2 linked regions of the Saccharomyces cerevisiae S288C genome follow. The protein of the gene in region 1 interacts with the protein of each later gene in a pairwise test. Each region holds a gene or a part of one and is shown on either strand. Other genes may lie near its edges.

The links.
Region 2: the proteins of PMT7 (region 1) and AUS1 interact in a protein complementation assay, tested with the Saccharomyces cerevisiae proteins (one study listed by BioGRID).

What each region holds. Positions count from the first base shown.
Region 1 is NC_001136.10:1,074,212-1,078,142, forward strand, and holds PMT7 (putative dolichyl-phosphate-mannose--protein mannosyltransferase), read left to right. Parts: upstream 1-1,653; coding exon 1,654-3,642; downstream 3,643-3,931. Other genes in the region: PFU1 (Pfu1p), read right to left, coding at 1-960; SRB7 (Srb7p), read right to left, coding at 3,816-3,931. UniProt on the Saccharomyces cerevisiae protein: Probable protein O-mannosyltransferase involved in O-glycosylation which is essential for cell wall rigidity. Transfers mannose from Dol-P-mannose to Ser or Thr residues on proteins.
Region 2 is NC_001147.6:347,620-351,550, forward strand, and holds the start of AUS1 (ATP-binding cassette sterol transporter AUS1), read left to right. Parts: upstream 1-2,059; coding exon 2,060-3,931. UniProt on the Saccharomyces cerevisiae protein: Transporter involved in the uptake of sterol.

The sequences.
Region 1 (3,931 bases):
CCATTTCGTATCAATCACAAATTCATTTGTTATACCTCCACTCAATTTCAAGTACCTGAGATTCTGTGGCCATTGAATATCTTGGAACCCTTGGCAGTCAATCGACGATCTGGGAAAAGATAAATGCGTTAATTTAGTGAAATTTTTAATGGCAGAAAATAACTCCTTCAGCTTAACTGTTTCCGATACTAAACCCAAGTCTAAAAATTTCAAATCATGACACGATTTCAATGAAATCAAAGGCGCGTAACCAAAGCTTGTCTGTGGTGCGATGAATTTAGTTAGGTTAGAACAGCATCGTCGTAAAAGCTTGGAGACAAATGAATTTCTACCACTTTGTAAAATTGTAGACAAGTTCAACTCAAAAACATAGTGTCCTAAATTCTTCTTTTTATTTATGATTATTGTATCAACAAACCCGTTGAAATTCTTACTTGTTAACGCTGGTGCATAATAAAGCTTTGGTAGACACATGGCGTACCAGTTTCTGCAAACTAGTAAGTAGTTCATATTTATACCAGTCGTAGTTTTTTTTCCATTAGCAGTTTTATTTAATTTTTCTTCTTTCTCTGGTATATCAAGATAATGAATTATTCTATGCTGTATCTCCCATGGCAAAACCATCTTTACTGATACTGAATGCATCCTCGCTTCCTCACTCTCTATGACTTTGCCATTTTTTTCTCCTTTGGAGGACGATGTCGATGATGACGATGGCGACTGCTTACGTCCTTTTTTATCCTTTTTTTCATTACTCAGTCGTGTCAATTTCACTATAGTATCATTGGTTTCATCATAGTAATAAGACCCCTGTGGAGTCTCAATGAGTTCTGCATCCTCCGGTATAGTGATAGTGAATTCTTTAGCCTTATTATCATTTCTTGTAGAGGAGAAACCCTCTCCCGCCACGTACTTCCTGTAAGGAGCCTTGATTTTCTTGGGTCGTGATTTGTTTGCCATTACTGAGTACTGTGGTTGATATGATTATGTGTTAGAGCTGTTGCACATGTTTGTCGATGTACAAATCTTGACGATGCCGTCATATTACTCTCAATACTAGACACATCTTGTATTGACAACCCTTACCCCTCATGAAGAGGTAACCCGGCCGCAGGGCTTTAACAATAAAATAGAGACTATCATTCAACAATTACACAGTAGAAAAAAGTCAGAAGATTACTAATCTCGATCTTAAGTCTATTAGTCAATTAAATGTGGCCTAGGATTCAACTAAAAATATAGTAGTAGTGAAAAAACAAATGTTCCAACCGAGGATCGAACTCGGGACCTTTGCCGTGTGAAGGCAACGTGATAGCCGCTACACTATTGGAACAATATTACGGATGACAGCTTAGGATTCATAAAGAACTAATAAAGGTGTGGCAATAAAAATGGTGCAGCAAGTCTCAACTTTACTGCTTCTTATAGTTACTTCCTGTCGTTTTCATCACACTAACCCTTTGTTTCATTGTGCTCCCCTTCCCTTCCTTTCAATATTGCTTCCTACATCGGTCACTCTTACTTTGGTAATGAAGTAATGAAGAAAGGAAAAATAGAAAATCGAATACTAAAAATGTTATTATTTAAGGAGAATAAGAACGTAGACACTTAAGGGCGATAGTGTTTGAACAGAAAAAAATTAACTTACAAAACATGAAGGACTTGAGATTACAGGGGCCCTACAGAAAGTACATTCCCTATAATATTTTCCAACAATGTGGAATTGGTCACTTAAAGACGCTTGATTATATTTTCGCGTTTTTGATTGTTATTACCAATTTCACATTAATATGGAAATCGCACTCTTCTTCATTCTGGAACCGACCATGGGACAATAATAGTGAACAAGAACTTTCCCAATTAATTCAGTTTTACCTAGACAAGGCTTTTTACATCCATGAATTGCCACCATTTACAATACAGTTCTACTCCATTATTCGAAGATTAAAGATCGCAGAAAATTTAAGATACGTTTCTTTGTTTTTGAATTCATCGACTTTAGGTTTTCTTTTCCTGATAACAAGGAGAATCAATTGCTCTCGTTTAATTTCAGCAACAGGTTTGCTGATATTATCCAACTGGGAAACTTTCAGAAATGAGGGCACTATTATATCATTTGACAGTTTAGAATGGTGTCTGTTCTCAGTAGTAATTTACAGTTTTATAAGCATTTCAATTGCAAAACTGGGAACTACGAATTGGTTTGCTAATGTGATTACATTATCTATTTCTTTAGGGCTGGCAATCTCTTCTAAATTTATTGGAATTGTCACTTGGGCCTTCGTAATTCTTTCTTTTGTACGTCAATTTGATAGACTGATAAGCGACGTTAAAGTTACGACCATCCAAATAATAAAATTTGTCATTCTCTGTCTATTATTCGTTTTGATTATCCCTGGTTCCATCTTCATAATAAGTTATTCGAACTTACTTTCGAATTTTAAGACAGACACGCCACAATTTTCAAAATATATGAGCACATATTTCAAGTCCTATTTAAGAGGCCCTCAAGTACAACCGAGTCGATTGTACTATGGATCAACGATCACATTACGTCATTTAGATTCTATGGTCGGATATCTTGCTTCTCACGATATTTCGTATCCATCAGATGTTGACGAACAGTTAGTAGCGTTATCATTTGAAGAATTCGCGGCAGACAATGAATGGTTAATAGAACATCCTACATTAAATTTGAGTTTTTCTGAGGTATACCATGCTGATCAATTGATACCTGTAGAATTTGGTCAAAGTATAAAACTAAGACACAAATCTACTGGAAAATTATTGAGAGCCAGCACTGCTAAACCTCCCATCAGCGAGCAGGACTATGACTTTCAAATTTCATGCACGAAAGATTCAAACTACGAAGGAGGAATGGATGAGAGATGGGATGTTCTCCTGATTAAAGATGAAATCAACAATGATAAAAAGGATAACGCAGATGATAAATACATTAAACCGCTTCAATCAGAGATACGCTTTTACAATAACGGCCAGAGATGTGGGCTATTGGGCCATGATCTTCGGTTACCTGAATGGGGCCGCTTTGAGCAAGAAGTCCTATGTATGGAGTACCCAGTAATACCAAGAACCACTTTTCTAATAGACTCAGTACAACTACCAGTCGATTTCCAAGTCCCAATGATAGAATATTATATCGGCAAAATAAGTTCTTCAGCAGAATTCAATCATACCTTATCTTGGTCACAATTTCTTTATCTTTTCAAAGAATATATTTTCAAACAATACAAGTACAATTACTATATTAAATACGGTAAAAATAAGGTCACTTTTGAAGATGCGTTCGCCGTGGAAAAATGGCCAATTACGTTAGACACAGACTCTCCAGTTTGGTTTAATTTTGCATGGTATGGATCCTTACTCTCGATGATCATTTTCATGTGCGTGCAATGTAAGAGAATGATATCTTGGAATCCGTGGACAACTGCTGAACCTTCCTTTTCTATCAAATGGGAGGTCTACAATGAATTTGGCTGGGAGTGCATTGTCGGTTGGTTTTTACATTTTTACATCTTCACAATGAGTCCACACTTCAACTTGGGGAAAAAACTGTACTTCCAAAGTTTTTTCTTTAGTGTATTGTGTCTTTTAGAATCGTTAGATTGCCTTGCAAAGTAACTCGTAGAAAGATTTTCTCCATTATGATTTTTCTCCCATTGCTTCAATAATTCTCCGGTACAAATAGAGTAGCACAATTATTTATAAGAATAACATACATACGCTTAACTCTGCCATATAACTATAGTACATTTTCTGTCCTCTGTTCGCAAATTTCTTTGTAAAACTTAAGTTTATGTGCTCTTTTTTGAGTTTGCAATGCCATCTACAAAATCTTCAATTAAAGAATCAACGTGCCTTAAAAGTTTCTCCTTCTTTTTGATGGCCTCAATTTTTTCGTCTTCCACTT
Region 2 (3,931 bases), on another chromosome or scaffold:
TTTCCTACAGGCTCTCTATTGTGTATACTTTGCGCTATTGTGTGCTTTGTTGTTGGTCCGAAGATCGCATAAGAGGCACGCCTCTTATCAATTTCTTTATAGGCGGCTACCGCCAGTGGAGTAAAATTCACGCCTTTTTTGTCCACTCCTTTTTCCGTAAATATTACATAATTAAATAGTCACAGCTCTTACGCACCTGTTTGGCCGCACATGAGAGTTAAACGCAAACTCCGCCGAGGCGTCGTTTTTCTAGCTGCTGCTTCACGTTTTATGGAGTCATATTCTGGTCTAAAAAAATTATACTAGGCAGGTAATGGATTGTTTTAAGTTTCTTGTTAACTCACATAGGATCTTTTTTGAGTACCTTGTGAAATGGTTAGATTTGATACCTTATTTTTTTCCAACATTACATTATTTTAGTATCGTTCAAGTTCTCCTTTACTTTTAGAGATTACGCCTACATTATGTATGCCGAACTTAGTAGGAACTATTTGTACGCAAAACATGAATTGTTTGTCGTGTCTGCATACATTAGTGTTGACAGTCAGAGAACTTGATTTTAAAAATAAAAGTTTCTTGTTTACAAAAAAGTATGGTCACCCGGTGTCTTTGCTATAATGGGAACAGAAAACCATTTGCAAGACTACTAAAATACGATTTTGTAATTTGACGTTACAAATATAGGGATAGTTGATAAATAGTTACGCGCAGTTAACTTTTCCTCACCAAAGGACAGTTATTTACCTACTGATTGAAAATGTTTTGGCACAGGATACCAGTTTTCAAATTTATTAATTAATTAAGGAGAAGTGAGAAATGATTAGAAAGCAATTAAGCGGTGAAGGTCTGCTTTTTATACTTACAAGAACGTATTATTAGCAGCCAACGCACTACAGTTGTTGACTAAGTTTTGTTTTAATTTGATTCGTAGTTGTTGGTCGAATTTTGTTTTGACTTGTTTTCAGTTTCTTTTTTTTTAATGCCTGACGTTGAAGAGCACGCAGGCCTATGAAAAAAAAAAATTATACGAGTTACTTGGAATTCGCTCCCATTGCACCAATTTCAGGAAGCGATCAAAAAGAAAGCAATGTTATTCAACATAACTTTATTCATACTGTAGTAACAATAACTTCATATCAATTAGGATTCACTGTTCATTGACTTATCACTACAATATGGAGGAAACGTTGCGTAATCGTTGTCGCTATAGATATTGTCCCTCCCTTCCTCTGTGATAGTTCTTCTTTATATAACTTTCACAAAAGCTTCTGCCCTCATAGTTGCCCTCAATAAACGAAAGGCCAGATGCATACAGGTGCAGTAGTACATCCAAAGAAACATAGGGGCAAAAACCGTGTTCTAATATTAGACTGCATATATCCCCTTGTCATTAGCTTAAATCATATAGAGTAATATGTACATACAGGTTATTTTATTTGTAGCTTTCCTCCTCTTTATGGAGCAAAGTAAGCCATACGAACGGTTTACAATAGAGAGCGTCGTTTGCTTACGTGATTGTCATGTGCCTTCGTAGGCAAAGGGGATTGCACACCTTTTTACTAAACAATAGAAAAGTGAGAATTCTCTTATAGGCACTGCTGCTCCTCGTTTCTTTTTACGCGCTGTCGTTCCAGGTCCTTTTTTCGATTAACTACGGTAGTTTCAAAGAGAGTGCCTGAAGATCACTCCATATACAGGCTAGATGAACTGTAAACGAGCTCATCAGCAGCGTCCCTTTCAGTGTCACTACAGCCACAGCAGCTTACCTCCTGTACGATGTGACAGAGCAAAACACAAATGTGTGTCCTTTCTACTCTTATTTTCCAACTCGAATATAAAGACGGTGCCTTTGCCTTATTTCTAAGGCACTGAACAGTTCTAAAAGTAAAGTTTTCCCTAGCCTTAGTACCGTTTCTGTGAAGCAGTTATTGAATAGTTATTGGACATAAAAATCCATATTGAAAAAAAAAAAAACATACTTGAGAAGGCATTAGCTGAATAGTAAAGACTGCTGTAATTCATCTCTCAGTCCTTGCAGTCTGCTTTTTCTGGAATTAATATGTCAATTTCAAAGTACTTCACTCCCGTTGCTGACGGGTCACTCACTTTCAATGGCGCGAACATTCAATTTGGCGCCGATGCTCAAGGCGAGTCAAAAAAGAGTTATGACGCTGAGGACAGCATGCCGAATCCGGCAAATCAACTAAATGACATAACCTTCCAAGCAGAGGCTGGTGAAATGGTTTTGGTTTTGGGTTATCCCACATCCACTCTATTTAAGACTTTGTTTCATGGTAAAACTAGTTTGTCATACTCTCCTCCAGGCTCGATTAAATTTAAAAATAATGAGTTTAAGAGCTTTTCCGAAAAATGTCCCCACCAAATCATTTACAATAATGAACAAGATGTGCATTTCCCATTTCTAACGGTAGAACAAACAATTGATTTTGCCTTGAGTTGTAAGTTCGATATTCCAAAAGGTGAGCGCGATCAAATAAGAAATGAACTTCTAAGAGAATTCGGCCTGTCTCATGTATTGAAAACTATTGTAGGAAATGATTTTTTCCGTGGTGTTTCTGGTGGTGAGCGTAAACGTATTTCTATTATTGAAACGTTTATTGCTAATGGTTCCGTTTATCTATGGGATAATTCTACTAAAGGTTTAGATTCCGCCACAGCTCTCGATTTTTTGGAAATTCTTAGAAAAATGGCAAAAGCTACTCGTTCTGTAAACTTAGTCAGAATTTCCCAGGCAAGTGATAAAATTGTTGATAAGTTTGACAAGATTCTTATGCTATCCGATTCCTACCAGCTTTTCTATGGTACGGTCGATGAGTGTTTGACTTATTTTCGTGACACTTTAGGTATTGAGAAAGATCCTAACGATTGTATTATTGAATATCTGACCTCTATCTTAAATTTTCAGTTCAAAAATAAAAATTTGGGGAATTTATCAAATTCATCATCTGCTAGCGTTCTCAAAACCGCAACAGGGGAAGTCACTAAGTATACTTATAATTCTGATTTCGATTTATATGATCAATGGAAACATTCTTCGTACTATAGAAATATAAAGCAGCAAATCCAGGGGTCTTCAATTGATGACTCCATTAAGGAAGTGGATCCCTCTGATGTCTCACCTATTTTTAATATTCCGTTGAAGAAACAATTATTATTTTGCACAAAAAGAGCTTTTCAACGAAGTTTGGGTGATAAAGCTTATATGACGGCACAATTTATTTCTGTCGTTATTCAATCTTTGGTCATTGGTTCACTGTTTTACGAAATTCCGTTGACTACCATTGGTTCATACTCAAGAGGTTCTTTAACCTTTTTCTCCATTCTTTTCTTCACTTTTCTTTCTCTTGCAGATATGCCTATTGCCTTCCAAAGACAACCCGTCGTTAAAAAGCAATCCCAACTTCACTTCTATACTAACTGGGTTGAAACCCTTTCAACAACAGTGTTCGACTACTGCTTTAAACTTTGTTTGGTAATTGTATTCAGTATCATCCTATACTTCCTTGCTCACCTGCAATACAAGGCTGCAAGATTTTTCATTTTCCTCCTGTTCCTTTCCTTTTACAATTTCTGTATGGTGTCCTTATTCGCTTTGACGACACTAGTTGCTCCAACCATTTCAGTTGCAAATTTATTTGCAGGTATTCTGCTACTAGCTATAGCAATGTATGCTTCTTACGTCATCTACCTGAAAAATATGCATCCTTGGTTTGTATGGATTGCTTATCTAAATCCTGCAATGTACGCTATGGAGGCAATACTGTCTAATGAGCTTTACAATTTGAAGCTGGATTGTAGTGAGACAATTGTTCCAAGAGGTCCTACTTACAACGATGTTCCATTTTCCCATAAGGCCTGTGCTTGGCAAGGTGCTACTCTGGGTAATGATTACGTTAGAGGCCGTGATTAC